Tamandua tetradactyla: one gene and its partner. The protein of the gene in region 2 purifies or fractionates together with the protein of the main gene of each other region. This does not show direct contact. Links are inferred from orthologs where the notes say so. Each region holds a gene or a part of one and is shown on either strand. Other genes may lie near its edges. The genes, in order: baculoviral IAP repeat-containing protein 3-like and BCL10.

Evidence for each region.
Region 1: the proteins of BCL10 (region 2) and baculoviral IAP repeat-containing protein 3-like purify together in Homo sapiens (affinity purification with western blotting; 5 studies listed by BioGRID and IntAct, with this or other methods). This does not show direct contact. The link is inferred for Tamandua tetradactyla from reciprocal best matches to the Homo sapiens genes BCL10 and BIRC3.

Annotation. Positions count from the first base shown.
Region 1 is NC_135334.1:40,516,889-40,524,711, forward strand, and holds the start of baculoviral IAP repeat-containing protein 3-like, read right to left. Parts: upstream 3,033-7,823; 5' UTR 2,850-3,032; coding exon 2,003-2,849; intron 1,895-2,002; coding exon 1,795-1,894; intron 1,454-1,794; exon of another isoform or gene 1,412-1,453; intron 1-1,411. UniProt on the Homo sapiens protein: Multi-functional protein which regulates not only caspases and apoptosis, but also modulates inflammatory signaling and immunity, mitogenic kinase signaling and cell proliferation, as well as cell invasion and metastasis.
Region 2 is NC_135337.1:39,768,792-39,777,032, forward strand, and holds the start of BCL10 (B-cell lymphoma/leukemia 10), read left to right. Parts: upstream 1-5,147; 5' UTR 5,148-5,415; coding exon 5,416-5,472; intron 5,473-8,241. UniProt on the Homo sapiens protein: Plays a key role in both adaptive and innate immune signaling by bridging CARD domain-containing proteins to immune activation.

The DNA of each region.
Region 1 (7,823 bases), on a different chromosome or scaffold from region 2:
TTAGTATTTTTTTTCCATATCCTCAACTTCAACTGGTTCTTTTTAAATTCTAATCTCTAATTTAAATACATTGTAATGATAAAAATTTTAAAAACTAAAAGTAAATGTTTTCAAAATAGAAAAAATATGAATGCTCATTTTAATCTAATTTTAAGCTTATAAATCTATTTTTGGTGTTTTCTTTCTCATTTGCAATTACCTCAGAGTCAACAGCAATGACTTACTGGGCCAGAAATAGCATCCATTCAGTTAATGCTTTTGATTAATTGGTTTATTTCCTTTGGAATTGAGACAAAAGCCCTTAAATGGTGAGTGCTTGTGACCCACTCATGCACACATATACCTCTGATTTATGACAGCCTTACAGTATGACACCCAGTACAGTAGACTGGGAGCCTCATGACCCTTTTCTTACTTCAACCTTGGCAGTTTGCCACTCAGAACCCCTAACTGCTCTCTTCAGCTCTTCTCTAAGATTCCTAAAAATGCTCTGAAGAAAGACTTTAAAAACAGACATGTAGCAGCTCTCTGATAAGTGACACGGTTCATCTCCATTATAGATTTGAGAGCAGAGAACATGCGAGAGGAACAAGAGACAAAAAAAAGTCATATTCTAATAAGATAGTCACAAGTTTGTCAATTCCTAGATAATATATACTTGTTGTCATATTAGAGCATCAAACAAATTCATGATAGTATCAAAGCATATTTTCAAATTTACATTTGTATATTCACAAAATTACCACAGTGGAAAGCTAGCATAACTTTCAAAGAACTACATAAGTGTTCCTTACAATCTTCATAATTTTTAAAATCTGCAATATTTGGGGAGCACAAAGATGCTAGAAATGAAGATAGAGTACTATGTAAAGATATGTATAATGAAAATATGATAGCAAGTTTCATAATCAACATTCAATAATAATAAAAGTTTTGACCATGAAAAATGTAATTAAAGATCATTGAATTAGATGAAAAAAGAGTGCAAAAGAGTGAGATCCTCGAAAGTATAAGACATGACAAAAAGTTCTACATAGTGATTAAAACAGATTAGGTGGGTCTGTATTTACCCTGACCACCCTAATTAATATTGCAACTTTCCTGACACTCCTTATCCCCTTTAACCTGCTCTCCGTTTCCCCCCCCCAAATATTTATCTTTTAATATGCTACGTAACTCATTACATTTTTATTAAATGTCTTCTCTCCCCTGCTATAAAACATGTGTATGAGACCAAGTCTCTGTTTATTCAACTGGTATAGTTTATGCACCTAGAGCAGGCCTGGCAATAGATGTTCAATTAATTATGTTAAAAGACTGGAAATATATCCAGGATATAATATTGACTGAAAAAATTTTCAAAACATTATATCTCATTTTTATGTCAAATTGTATTCATTTATCTACATAGGTACATAGGCACAGATGTCTGGAGGGATGTTCAGTCAAACGGTAAAAATGATCATCTTTAGGTGGTAGGATTTGGGGACAATTTTATTTTTTTTCCCTTGTACTTTTCTAAAATGTATGACTGTGTTTTTATAATAAGCATGTTTTATCTTTGGAAAATATATTTTAAAAATTAAACAAAATCTAAACCTATTTCTTTTTCATCCTTAATTTCCATCAAAACCTTTTAAATCTATTTCTAAGTAATTCATTCAAAAATTTATTCACAAATGTATTTTCAAAATAAAGACAAAATAAAGTAACAGCCATTTAATTGTAAAGTAGACAAATGGAACCCATCCCTTGAGACTAACAAAAATTTGCAGAGAATTTCAAAACAATTACCTTGGAAACCACTTGGCATGTTCCACCCATGGATCATCTCCAGATTCCCAGCACCTCAGTCCACCATCGCAGCAAAAACACTTAACATCATCACTGTGTCCTAAAATTAATTTGGAGGAGAACTTACAAGCACATATAGCTTGCCCACTAAAATTTATAAGCTAAAATGTATTGAACATTTTTATTATTATCAGATTAAGTTTCTTACCCATATAATAAAAACCAGCACTTGCAAGCTGCTCAGGATGGACTAGGACATTAGATGGCCAGTTCAAGAATGTTTTAAAACGGGCTGCATGTGTCTGCATGCTCAAATTAGAAACTGTGTGTCTCAAAGTTTCTCGAAGCTGATTTTCTAAAAACGGACAGCTTGGGAAATGTCTCAGATGTTCTGCCATAGCATCATCCTTTGGTTCCCAGTTGCTCAGTTTTCCACCACAGGCAAAGCAAGCCACTCTGTCTCCAGGTCCTATATAGTAAAAGCCTGCTTTTGCCAGGTCTGCTGGTGACAGAAAGCTCAATGGCCACATCTGGTAAGTAAGTAATCTCGCTTTTTCGGTATGCATTGCCCAACTGTAAGAGCTTTGTCTTGAGGCAAGAAAATCTTGATTTGCTCTGAAATTTACAGGATTTGATGGAAAGCTTGAATAAGAGCCACTGAAATATCCACTGTTTTCCAAACTTGGTAGTAATGAATGTATAGAATTTACTGAAGGAGGGAAAGACTGTGAGGTGGCTCCCAGGCTGTTAACTGAACATAGTTTCTGAATAAAGCTACAGCTAGGATACAAGTTTTTATGCTTTTCAATAGCATTGTCTCCTTTTTTCCAGTTATCCAGCATCAGGCCACAGCAGAAGCATTTGACCTTGTCATTCACACCAGTGTAATAAAAACCAGCACGAGCAAGGCTCCTTTCTGAGATAGGAACGCCCGTGGGGAAAGTCGAATATGTAGACATTCGGTACAATTCACATGAAAAGTCATATTTCAGTTCAAACGTGTTGGCACTTTTCATCAAATTTGATAAGAATGTGCTTTTTTCTACTATGTTCATGGTGAATTGGATGGGGAGGAAAAGGGACTAGCCTTTCTCTGGGGAGGTAGTTTTGTGCATGGCTTTTGATTTTGTTAGTTTCAGTACAAGGTTGAATGCCTAGAATGTGAAATCATTCTTTTTCTTCTATAAATTTAGAGTTTCAGCATGGCAAGATTCTAAATCCTATACTTATACTTTAAAGGGACATATACTTTAAAGGGACAATTATGCACAACTGTTCCTTTGTATAATCTTTATATATACATATACACATGTAAACATGATGCTACATGGTAGCTTGTGATGGAAATTAAAAACCCTTTGTTGAAGGGGGAGTGTTTTAGGTCATCAGAATACCAATATCAATATCAAGCATCTCATAGGCAGGTCAACTTTTCAGGCCACTAAAGTGCTTCAGGGGCATTCAGCCAACCTAAAGATAAAATATCTGACTCATGTAGCTAGCTTCTTTTCATGGTGGAAAGCTATGCTCCACAAGTGTTCTACAACAAAAATGTTGAAGTTATGTTTATTTTAGTTTTTGTAGACTGTTAAACTTGGTAGCCAGAAAAAAAGCCTAAGACTTACCTCAAAAGAATACATTACCATATTTCATCACTTCTAAAACATGTTTTAATATCCCCGTTATTGAGAGGCTTCTTACAATTAATGGTATATTCATATTTTAATTCCCATTATTTCTTAGAGGCACATAAAATAATAGTGTATCTGAAAGTGACAGCTTAGATAATTAGATACTTTCTCCTCCCTCAATTCTTTTAATAGGGAAAATTAAAGTTTAAAACTAAAATAAACTAAAAATTAAAACTACTTCATATATAAGGAACTTGACTCCTTAGTCCTCATGATACCATTAGGTCTTGGTAAAGTAAAAATTCTATTTAAAAAAATCATCAGAAATGAATGTATTTTGCTCAATTAGTCTTTTGGATCCAACTTCATGCTGTTAAGGCAAGTCAGCTGTTTTTGTTTTTCATTCTAATGGTACACTTGATTAAAACTGACAGTTTTTCTTATAATCATATAGACAACAGGTGGTGCAAATGGAGATTCTGCCACAAACTATCAATATATGCAATTTAAATTGAATCTTAAATTCAGATTATTTTGGAAAAACGGAATCATGATATAATGTTCCCTTGGTTAGAAAAATCATTTTATCACGTTGCTTAAGATAATTAAATATGGCTTTAAAATAATGAGACTTTTAAAGATTTTTAATTGTTGTCCCTCTCAAAGAACTAACTTTGTAGAGTTATTCCCTTACATCACCTGCTCAAACCACACATTGCACAATGTCTACCATGTACATTTTTGAACTTTGCTTTTCTAAATGTCTAATTTTTCTAATTTGCTAACATCAAATATTCTACTCTGATAACGAATTTATTTTTAAAGCAGTCAAAAGTCATAGAATGTGTAGTCTTTAGGCTAAAATGGATAATCAAATTGCGCAGATTTGGTTTTGACTAGAAATTACTTCACAGAAACTTGGTTAGATATTAGTTCACAGATAGTAAACTTTGACCCAGAATATGTCATTACAAAAATTAATAAATTTACTTTACCACAATCCCCTTCTTCTGAACAGCTGAGCCCTTTTCAAAATTCAGAATTTCTCGGTTATGCCTAACTAGCCGTTAGTAAACAGGTAGTCTACGGTAATACCAGCAATAACCAATAAACTGTTTGCTTTTCCACCAGTGATTTGCCAGCATGGTTTCCTGGCTGTCACAGATGTTGAGGTTTTCTACTGCAGACTTCAATGCTTTGTGTCCAGATAGCAAGAGAAACATTATCTCATTACCAGTTGTGATTCCCAGGAGGAATCATTGTGTCTAACTTCATTATTTCTTCAGTTAGTCAAACATTTTACATTGTGCTAAAATACCCCTGTATTCATCATTGTCTTTGTGTAAACTTTCTTTCTGGTTAAGTTTGTTCCCTTACCAAAATTTAACCACCCAGACATTGTTCTCATTCTCATCATTCTCAGCAATTTAAACAAACAGAATTTTAGACTTTCAATATTATCAGTGCTCATGTGATTGAGTAATTTCTTCAACTATCATGTTTATCTTTCCAGCTTTCTCTAAATTTTTATACCTCTCAAAAAATTTTGTACTTGACATTCTTTGCCATCATAGAAATCTTTTAACCTGTCAGAGGCCTTATTTGCATATTTGTCTAATTTAACAGAGGGTTTAATATTAACTCTTTGTTCTAGATAATGGCCGCTCATTTTTAAATCTTTACCAAATACAGGTGCTTTTTTTCTATTACACAGTGCAGCCAGTGGAAGACTGCTTACCCAAATTTTAAATGAATGCTTTAATAATATGCTCCAGCTACAATCACTTCTCCTTTACTTCCACAAATCAAATACAAAATCAAATTCATTACTTTATAGTTATACTTCATATAAATAACTCATTTAAAAAATTACATTCTTTGTAAACCAAATTAAGTCAACTACTTAAGTTTTTTTCATTCATGCACAAAACTACCTCCCGGAGATTAGACTAAGTCCCTTTTATGGGTTTTAGGCCTCCATTTTGAGATATTCTTAATTATAGAAGAAATTGAAAACAATCTAGTAGTAGAACAGTTCTCCTCTCTGGTAAAACCTGTTAAAAAAACAAAAGTTTTAAAAGTCAGTCCATGAAATATGACACAATGATTTTTTTAAAAAAACATTTTCTTCAAAATAGAGCACTAGTATTTACTGATTGTCTATGAAGTACAAGGTACTGTTCTAAGAACTATAGGTGAGAAGAAATCCCAGACAAAGACACAAGGTCTCTAATTGGTGGCCAGTAGAGATATGTTCACTTTGCACAGAAATGGACAACAGTATGTTACTAATTTTTAACTATTTTGAAACTACTTTAGACCTGGAGAAAACTTGATGCAGAGTTCCTGCATAGCTTATAACCAGCTTCCCCAAAGTTAAGGTTACATAAACTACCATCTAGAAACACTAGTTAGCTAATATTTATACAATGCTGTTAATTAGTCTATTGTGCTTTATTTGAATTTCACCAGTTTTCCAAATACATTTTTTAATGTTTTAATTTTTAAAAGTAATAAGTTACCCATAAAATTCTAGATTTCAAGCTTCTTTTGAAAAATCAGAAGGTCTGGCAACACTGGACCAAATTCCTGCATGATGCCAATTGGCTAGAATTGAGTAGTGGCTAGACCCCTCAGACAGACCATTCTCCAGTTTCTCACTGTATTTTGACCACCTAATATTTAGGCTATCAGTTGCCATTTATTACTGGACTGGCACTATTATTTTTCTTATACAGAATTGAGAGAGAGGTGAAATTGTTCTAATACCCGTGTTTATGAAGAGTCACAAAAACGAATGCTAGACCATGAGAGACACAGGTTTTGACAAAAATAAGAGAGAACCACATCTTTATGGAAATGGAGACAATCCCTTCAGGTTAACTACATAAACAAAGTATGATTCTGTTTAAAAGAGAAACACACAGTTTTGTGCATATCACCTGTCTGGCCTCTTATGCATTTGAGTATGCAAACCCTTTACATAGCTCTTACCCTAAAGAAGATTTGGTGTGGAAACAAAGCATGTATTTGTAAAAATGGTAGGCAGCAAATATACAATAAATATACCAAAAATGTGTCAAGATGCCAACCCTCGATCAATTCAACCTTCTGTCTTAACCATTTCTAACACCTAGGCTTCCAAGTCAGCTGGTGAACAGCCACACCCTGCAGAATGGGACTCCCCCTGGGCTGGCCCTTCATCATCCTTCAGCAATTCTACTTTGCCCTAATCAGCTCCCTAGCCCATAAGAGTTGCCTTATGCCACTCTTCTAAACCATCAGCCCGTTCTTCAAATGTCTCTACACTCCCCCTCACCTTCAACTGATTGCTTTGCCTTCTGTTTCTCAAAGAAACATCTTTGAGCAGTGTCCTTTCACAATGTCATATCCATGTCTTTCTAGCTCACAGTATACTTGCTGCCTCAGACTCTTGTTCCATTATGGGATCCTGTCTTCTCTCACTCCTCAGAAATATTGCTCTTAACCCCATCTCCCTCATGTCTTCAACTCATTCTCTACTATCTCTCTTCTCACAGCATGACAATCATGCATAAGTCTGTTTCAGCTTTAAAATGAAAACAAACAAAAATTTCCTCTGTGAACCCCACTTTCCACTCTAGCCACGATCTGGTATGTAACCTTCCTTTCATAGCCAAAAGCAAACTGAACCAAACTGTTGTTAAGGTGTCCACTTTTCCCCCCTCCTATTTATTCTTTAAGCCACTACAATTTGCTTTAGCCAGCACCATTTGAAACTGTATTAATGACACCAGTTAATTGTTTGCCAAATCAACGGAAATTTTTGCATCTGACACTGGGACCCACTTCTTCTTAGAAATGATCTCCTCCCTTGGCTTCTCTAATACCAGTCTCAGAATTCCTCTTTCCTTTCTAGCAGTTCCTTCTCAGATTGACTCACATCCTCAGCCTCTTCTCTTACTATCTCTTTCCTGGTGGGCAACCCTCTCCATTCTTGGGCTGTCAGGTGTCCCCATCCTCTTGGACACTCAACATATCCATCTCTTTGAAAGCATATCCACATCTCTGACACCTGGGAGTAAGTGTGCCTTTCTACTTCTCTAGACTGTGAGCCCCTTCAGAGAAGGATCTGTGTTTCAGCTCTATATGCCCCTCAGCATCCACTGGGTCTGGCACATAATTTAGACATTAAGAATTTTTGTTGAAGAAGTAAAGCTTAGCAAACTTGTCTGAGCCCTGTAGGACAACAGTACCCTCATTTGCACGATATTAAGGACATCAATTTTACATTAGTGAATATAAAGTTTCCTCACTTATGGTTTAATATCACCCTTTGGATTCAAATATCTTGGACTTCCAATACCAGTCAGTTCCCCTTTCCAAAAGCCTTCATTTCCTCATTGTCATATGGAGATA
Region 2 (8,241 bases):
TCCACCTCAGGCACATGAACTGAAACCTTCTGTCTTGCACCATGAAATGCTTGACTATCCTGGCTTTCTCTGAATCACCCTTTGACCTAAAACAGCTAGCTCAGTGTATATCTAGCAATTAAGAACACTGGCCTTGCTATCAGACAGAGCTGAGTTGAATCCTGATTCTGCTACTTGCTAGGTGAGTGACCGCAGGCAAATCATATTCTCTAAGCCTCAAACTTCTCATCTGTTAAGTGAGGAAAAGTAAATCTGTCTAGAAGGACTGTTACAGCAATTAATGATAGTTAGTGAGCATTTTTCCCCAGGCAGTTGTACAACTGGGAGATCGAGCCTCTCCCGCTGGTTCTCCTGTGGGTTTATGAGGATATTGACGATATCCTCCCCTTGACGATAATCAGGGCTCCATGTCCCAGAAACACGCAAGCCTCTAATACCAGGTGTCTACCTGCAGTCTCCAAACCAACCAGGATGGTGGAGGAAAGGATCCAGTTTCCTCATCAAGCCCAGCAATGCCCTGATCTTGGGGTGCACTATGAATGTCCTCAGAGCATTCTCATGCTGGGTCCTTCCTTCCTAAACTGGAAGCCCTTCCTGGGGGCAGGATCATCTGGAGCGTTCACCAAGTCCGTGAGCTTCTATCTCGGAATTTCACCAATATTGTCTGCAAATAAAACACAGGGATGCCTCAGAACTGGCTACTTTTTCTTCCAGCTGGTTATAGGAAAGTTATAGCTCACAATCATCTGGAATAAAATTTGTTGTTCAACATAGTATTTTGTACCTGGCAGATATTTAATAAAACTTTTGAAATAAATCATTAAGCAACAAAAGTTCCGCCTATTGAAATCTACTTGGCCAACCAAAATACACCTCTTTCCTGTCACCTTATCAGTCAAAAGTGACTGATTACATTCATCTCTTCCTTTACACTCTTATAAAAGCTATTTTTTTCATTAAGTGTTTATTATTTATTCAAGGTCATACAGCTATTAAGTGGCAAAGCCAGAATCCAACCTAGGTCTGTCAGATGCCAAACGTCCTCATTCTTAACCACAATGATATGCCACCTTATTTTCTTAGCACATAAACTGTATTATTCACACTACATTTATCAGATGCCTTGTATTTCACAGCACAAGGCAGGATGGTGTACCTAGAAACCTAGACACAGAGGTAGGGATGAAGGGCATACTAGGGGATGGGGAGGTGAAAATATTGCAAATAGGGAATAAGCGGGGCTATTTTCTTGGAAATATGCCCAACCTTCACTACAGTCTGACCCTGAGATTTAACAGAGAAGAGGAAATGAGTTTGCATATTATGAAATGTGATACATTAGAAAGAAAGCAGAATTGAGAACTGTAATGCCTGCCACAAACCAGCTCTTTGATTAGGTACTTGACATTAGGATGCGGCCCCTTTGACACATGATTTGACCCAGGAACCTTAAAACATGGCCTGGTGTGGTGGCCCAGGGTCAGGACCCCCTCCCTTGGGAGATGAAGGCTTAAGTATGCAGCAGCCGGTGTGATCAGAGCCCAGACATTATTGTTAAAGCAATTAAAACTCCCCTCCCCTAATCACTGTTGGTAATTAACTGGCTGAGACTCTGCTGAAGCTTCTTTGTAACAGATATTGCCAGGCTTTGCTGAATCATATAAGGTACTCTTCCTCTTGTTTTGGGGATCACTGATTTCCATTTCCTGACCAGTCACCATCAGAAAGAATCGTTTCCTGTTAGTAAGTCCCAAATGAAACCCATATCTAACTCTCTGCTGTGTTCTTTGGTCTTTGGGCTGGGCTGGGCTGGGCTGGAACACCTGGAAAGCAAAATATTAAACTTTCAGCTTTCAAAAATTCCTAAGATTCTCACTCCACACCTGAGTGTCATCCAACGTCGGCTCTTCAGTCCATCACCAACCCTATTACTGGCACCTAATAGGCACAACTTTTTGTTGAATAAATGAATAAGTGAATGAACATCAAGGATGGAAGAAGGGCATGGCTGCACGTGTCAGAAAAGAGATGATGGACCCAGAGGGGCCAGCCTCTCCAAAACATCAACTAGTGCCATTCCCCTATCTCATATTATTGACAGCTCTTTCCAACATGAAAAAGTTGGAATGGACATAGCCTAAATACCCCTAAAGATTGGGAGAAGGCTCAAAGGAGAAAGTGGAGTTATAACAGAGAAGATAGGATTTAACAAATGAATATGACTGCTGAATTATTGTATTGAATAATACAAATCCTATTTCTTTTAGTCTCCAGTGTCTTGGAGCAGCTAAATGGGAAAACCTAAAATTGTGGAACTGTCAAACTCTGAAATCTGTTCTATAACTAATTGTTGCAGTGTGCTTTGAAATGTATTACTTTTTTGTATATACGTTATTTTTCACAATAAAAAAAGAGAAATATAACATAAAAAAAAGAGAGAGAGATGATGGTCAAGGACAAGGAAAGGGTCAGAATCAGAGTTGTCTACCATTAACATTTGATAGTCAAAACCCATAACAGAAATAAAGGTGTCAAAATATCAATTATTTGTTAATTCATGGTAATGAGTGTGGGGTGTTTGTAATATAACTCTTTTTACTGTTTGGTGTGTTTAAAATATTTCATTTTAAAAAGAACAGTATAACAGCAACTTCAAAATGACTGGACCAAATGGGATTCACCAAACTGGCAAATCATTTGCTTTAATTGGGGGGAAATCACCTCTTTCACGAGCAAAGCCGGTGCGGTTCATTCCCACACAACCCTTTAGGAGAGAACCTGTGGAAATACATCTGAAAAGCCATAAAATATTCATTTCCTTGGTTGGGAGCATACTCCTGCCTCCTGATAATTTAGGCAAAGAAAATAATAATTCAAAAGAGAATAGCATAGGAAATATGTAGGCAAAAAATTTTATAATTTTTTTATAACCATGGAAGATTGGGAATAATGCCAAGGGAACAACGGGGCAGCACTCACCACTGCTCCCACCTGGTAGAGCCACTCTCCTGTCTGTCTAAATCCCTACAGTGGCCTCCAGCTGGTCTCCATTTTTGCTCTTGCTTCTACAGTCAGAGTGATCCTAAAGGAAATCAAAGTGCTTCCTCATTTCTCTTCAAATTGTGTTTTTACAAGCATCACAGCTAGCTCTCCTGTCTGAGCCACCACCTCTAGGGCCTGGATTAAAGAAGAGACCCCCTAACTGGTCTCCTCCTTTCACCCTCCTCCTCAACAAAAATCATAAATCAGATCACACCACTCTTCTCCAGCAGCTTCCTGTCTGACTCAGAGTAAGCCCGTATGATTCAGCAAAGTGGGAGAAAACTCTTACAAAGGAACACAAGAATCTCATCTTCTGCTCACCCCTGACTCCATCCCAGCCACCCCCGGAGCCTTTCATTGGCTGTTCCTTCTATTCACAAGGCTCTTTCTCCAAATATGCACTCCCTCACCTCCTTCAAATCCTAACCAAAATCCCACCTTTTCAGGCAGGTCTTCATTGGCTGCTGTGATGGTCCGGAGCTATGTACCCCAGTAGCAAATAGTTCTTAAACTTAATCCATTCCTGTGGGTGTGAACCCATTAGAAGCAGGACATTTGATGAGGTTACAAAAGTTACGATGCGGTCCAACTCAATCAAGATGGGTCTTAATCCGATTACTGGACTCCTTCAAAAGCTGAATGTAATGCAGACACACAGAGAGAAGGCCATGGGAAGCAAAACACTGAAAGTCAAAAGAACAGGAGATAAGGAACAGGGACCCCAGACCTGGGATCACTGGCAGTCAACCCCAGAGTCTTCAAGACGAAGCATTGCCTTGAGTTGGACTTTTCCTAGCCTCAAACAGTAAATTATTAAATTTCCATTGTTGAAGCCAATCCACTGCATGGTATTTGCTTGAGGAGCCAAGGGAAACTAAAGCAGACACACTATTGTAAATTATTGTAAATGAGAAGCCTCATCCTGCTTCTCCATTTTATTTTCTGTTTATCATCTTCTAATATACTAAATAATTTACATAAATTTTTTCAAATATGTATCTTCCGTTAGGCCTAGACAACAGAAGATTTAGCAAGCAGAAAAAAACTGTACTTGTATTTTGTATCAATGTGGAAAAAGACATGACATAATGTTAATGCAAAAAAGCAGAATCCTTGGGTTGTGATTAAAAATGTTTTGGTGCATTTTGGGGAACACCTCTTTTCTGGTTTTTTGCTTCCCCTGACCTTAAACATTGGCTTTCCAAGTTTGTCCTTGGTCTCCTCATTTTGACCTACCCTTGTGGCTTCAAAAACTATCCAGTTTATTTAGTATGTCATCCAACTTTCCTCCTTGGGCGTAGACCTCTATTCTCAGCTCCTCACCCACATTTCTCAGGTTGCTTTGCATACTCCTCTATTCCTGAGTGGAATACCATTCTGGGAATAACTACTGTTCATCAATCTCCCCCACCCCCAAATGTGGAAGAACCCTTACAGGAGAAGCTGCCAGGAACATATTAGTAAGTACCAACTAAATGCTTGAGTAATACAAAATAATACTAATAAGTGCTTATCCCGTGCCAGGTACCTACAGCTTTCCATGTATAATTTAATTCTCACAGCAGTCCCATGAAGTAGATCTAACTCCACTCCACAGATTTATGAATGAAGAAAAACATGTTTATAAACGAACAGCCACCGAGAAGGATGCAAACGTTTAATTAGATGTTAAAGTGGTGGGAATGAGGTGGTTCTTTTTCTTATTTCCCCAAATTTCTTTAATACTGCAGTTCTGTTCCGTGTGTGCGCGTGTGTTTGTGTGTAATAACAACTTAAACATTTGAATGGGCAAACACAGCAACAGGAAATTATAGAACCCGGTCAGGAAAAAAGGGAGGAACCCGAAGGTACTAACAAACCTACACCCAGCGTGAAACGCCTGCCGCCGTGGGCGGTGCCAGCCAGCTGAGCAGCAACGGATCCCACCCACGGAAACGATTCCTTATTGGGAGGCCAGCCTCCGGCCACATGCAAATGACCTGCGGAGGTGTAGCTTGAGGTGACGTCAGCTGCGGGTAGAGCCACTCCTGAAAGGCTCCGGTGGGAGGCTTGGGCTGATTGGCTGTCGTAGTGACGGGGCGGGTCCTGCCGAAGGCCCAGCCTCCCGAACGGGCGGCGCCTGCGCCTGAGCCTCCCTGGACAGGGAAGGAGCCTGGCTTGGATCTCCGCGTCGCGGCGCGTACGGTCTGAGGCGCCGTCGCCCCCAGAGGGCGACCCCCGAGCCACTGTTTTCCTAGGGGCGGTTTTCTTCTTCGAGACCCGCTCCGCCTCTCCTTTCCCCCTCTTCTCGAGGTTATCGAAGCCCCCAGGTCTGGGAGGGGCGGCGAGGCCAAGCTCCCGGACCCGGAAGAAGAGCCGTCTCCTGCCTCTGCCATGGAGCCCACCGTGCTGTCCCTCACCGAGGAGGACCTGACTGAAGTGAAGAAGGACGTGAGTAGCGCAACCTTGCCCAGGCGCCGCTGGTATCCGGGGGTGGGCGGGGGCGGGCTGCAGTCCCACGGGAGAGGGAAGCAGAAACCGGATCCCGGAGAAGAGCCTCTGGGTGGGAGGAGCGAAAGGTCTGGGCTCTGGAGGATCGCGACGAGCCCTGCGACCAAAGGACCTTGCTGGAAGTGATCCCTCGGTGATTTGTTGATCCACATTTTCGAATCGCTGAACACAGGATTAAGGTTTCTGAAACTTTGTCCAGTAGACCTTTTCTTCGTAGTCAGCGTCTTACCCGCTCATGATTTTACCTCCCGGCTGTGCTTACGAAGCTCCGTTGTTGGGGATCCTCATCCTTTTTTAAAAAGTCATACTTCCTAGGCTGTGAACCCAACGTAGAGCAAAAGCTGGACCAGAAAAAGAATCCGAAGCAATGGAGCAAATATGTGAAACTGTTTTGCAAAGGGGATTGAGGGAAGCTCAACAGCTGAAAGCGCAACCTGGAATTCCCCTAGTAAGCAAACGCCCACGTATTTAAATTGAGGGGGGTATGAATACATGTAGCAGAGAATTAATTTACAGGTAAACGTTGGAAATATTCTGTAGCTAAATTAATTTCTTCTGCCTGGATGTTGCAGAACTGCACAAACCTTAATACCTATTTGTACGAATGGCTTTGTTGAGGTATGATTTGCTTCTTTCTTCTTTGTTTTTAGTTACTTGGTTTTTCATTTGAGACCTGTAGGAATACTACTAAAATGTTTTATACTAATTCAAATTAAAAACGGAAACAACATAATGTATGCTCTGATTTGACATTGCAGTACCTTAAGAATACAATCTTTGTGAATTGTGAGGGAGAGGAACTTTTTTAATGTTCATCTTTTTCAACTCCCTTCCTCTTCCCTCCCCAGTATTGTTTATTACACTGTGCTCATATAGCATGACTCATTAGCAAAAGGAAGCTGGAAATTAAACTGTATGACTAGAACTTGTGCCTTAATTTCCTTATCAGGTATTTATGGGACACTTACTATCTGCAAAGTACCATTCTTCTGCCTAGGATATAAAAATGAAGATAATACCCCTGCTTTATAATCTAGTTGAGATGAGACTGGGACATTGATGACTACAGTGGATTTTCATTATTTGTGGTAATTATGTTCTATAAAGTCCTTGAGAACTCCTAATTATTGAATACTGAATCTTTATTCCTAGGGGAAATACAGGGTTAGGTTCAAGCCAGCCTTTGGTTGCAACGTTTTCTTCAACCGATCAATATATTACTTTGATTTATATGTATGTCTCTTTAAAGACACATTACTTCATTTATATTGTTGATTCATTAGCAATGAATTCATGGCCAACAGCACTGTAATTCATGCTTGAGCAAAGCTTATCTAACAAATATATTTTCTCTGTGAGTTACATCACAGTGCTAGGCAGCACTGTAGCACTACACATGGAGTTCATTTTAAACAGCGAAATCACCAACAAAAAGCACAGAAATGTGACAAACATGGCACTTAATAAACCATGAAAAAGACGTTGTTAACAATATGAGCTGAAACAGGAAGGTAGAGCATTGCCTTGTTTGACCTCTGCTGGAAATGTGCGCATCAAGAACTCAATTTTTTTTACTATTCTGCACATCTATGAAAGAATGGGAAAACTCCATGAATATTGATTTGGGGGTTATAAATAAATTTTTCTGGGTAGGCAAATTCACAAATGTAATCAGCAAATAATGAGGACAATCTGTACTACAGAATGAGTTTTGTCTTGTTCAACATGGATGCCAGTAAAACCAAGAACTTCAAGAACTAAGCTTACAGAGTTCCATAAATGCTCCCATTTAAAATCTTTACAAGAACCTGTAAGGGAGATATTGTTATTCCCATTTTATAGTTGATGACTGGGCAATTACAAGTGAGAGGAGATAAAACTATACAAATGCAGATGTGAAGAGTGGGTTCTTTGCCTTTATTTTTATGACTGTTCATTGATGTTCTCCATCTCCATATTTTCAGTTTGCATTTTTATCAGAAATTCATAACCTTGGGGAGACCGTGGATGGATTTCAGGAGGTCTATGAAAAAAAATCTTGAAGATTTTCAAAATGGTTTTTGACCTTAAGTTTTAAAATTACCATCCACTGGGTGGCAGATGATGGCGCAGTGGCAGAGTTCTTTCCTGCCATGCTGAAGACCCAGGTTCGATTCACAGTGCCTGCCATGCCAAAGAAAAAAAAATTACCTTCCACATATTCAGACTTCTCTCAACTTTAGCCCTGTATTTCTAATTATCTATTGGAAATCTTTCACATTCTGCAAATTCCTCACTTGTCTAAAATTGATCCCTCCCCCAAAGCAGCTTGCCTTTACTGCTGTATTTTATATGGTGATGAATGGTATACCACCATCCATCTTCCTAGAAATTCCAACTTCTTCCCATCTAGTTATTTAGCTTATCTTTTAGGGGTTGGATTTAGTTCAGTTTAATAAATATGAATTACATGCTACTGGGAGGGCTGATGCTGTAGTTGTTTCTAACAGTTCCGAAATTAAAAACTAAAACAGTCATTTGAAAATATCTTGATTTCTTGGGAGAGGGAGACAGGTAAAAAGTAATAATTAGAAATTACAAAATAAGTGTAATGAATTATGTATTCATCCAAAACATATTTACTTGGTACTCTGTTAAAGTGTAGTGTTGAACAAAACATTCCTGGTTCTTGCCTGCTTCATGCGTATAGGTAATTAGGGTTGAAAACAA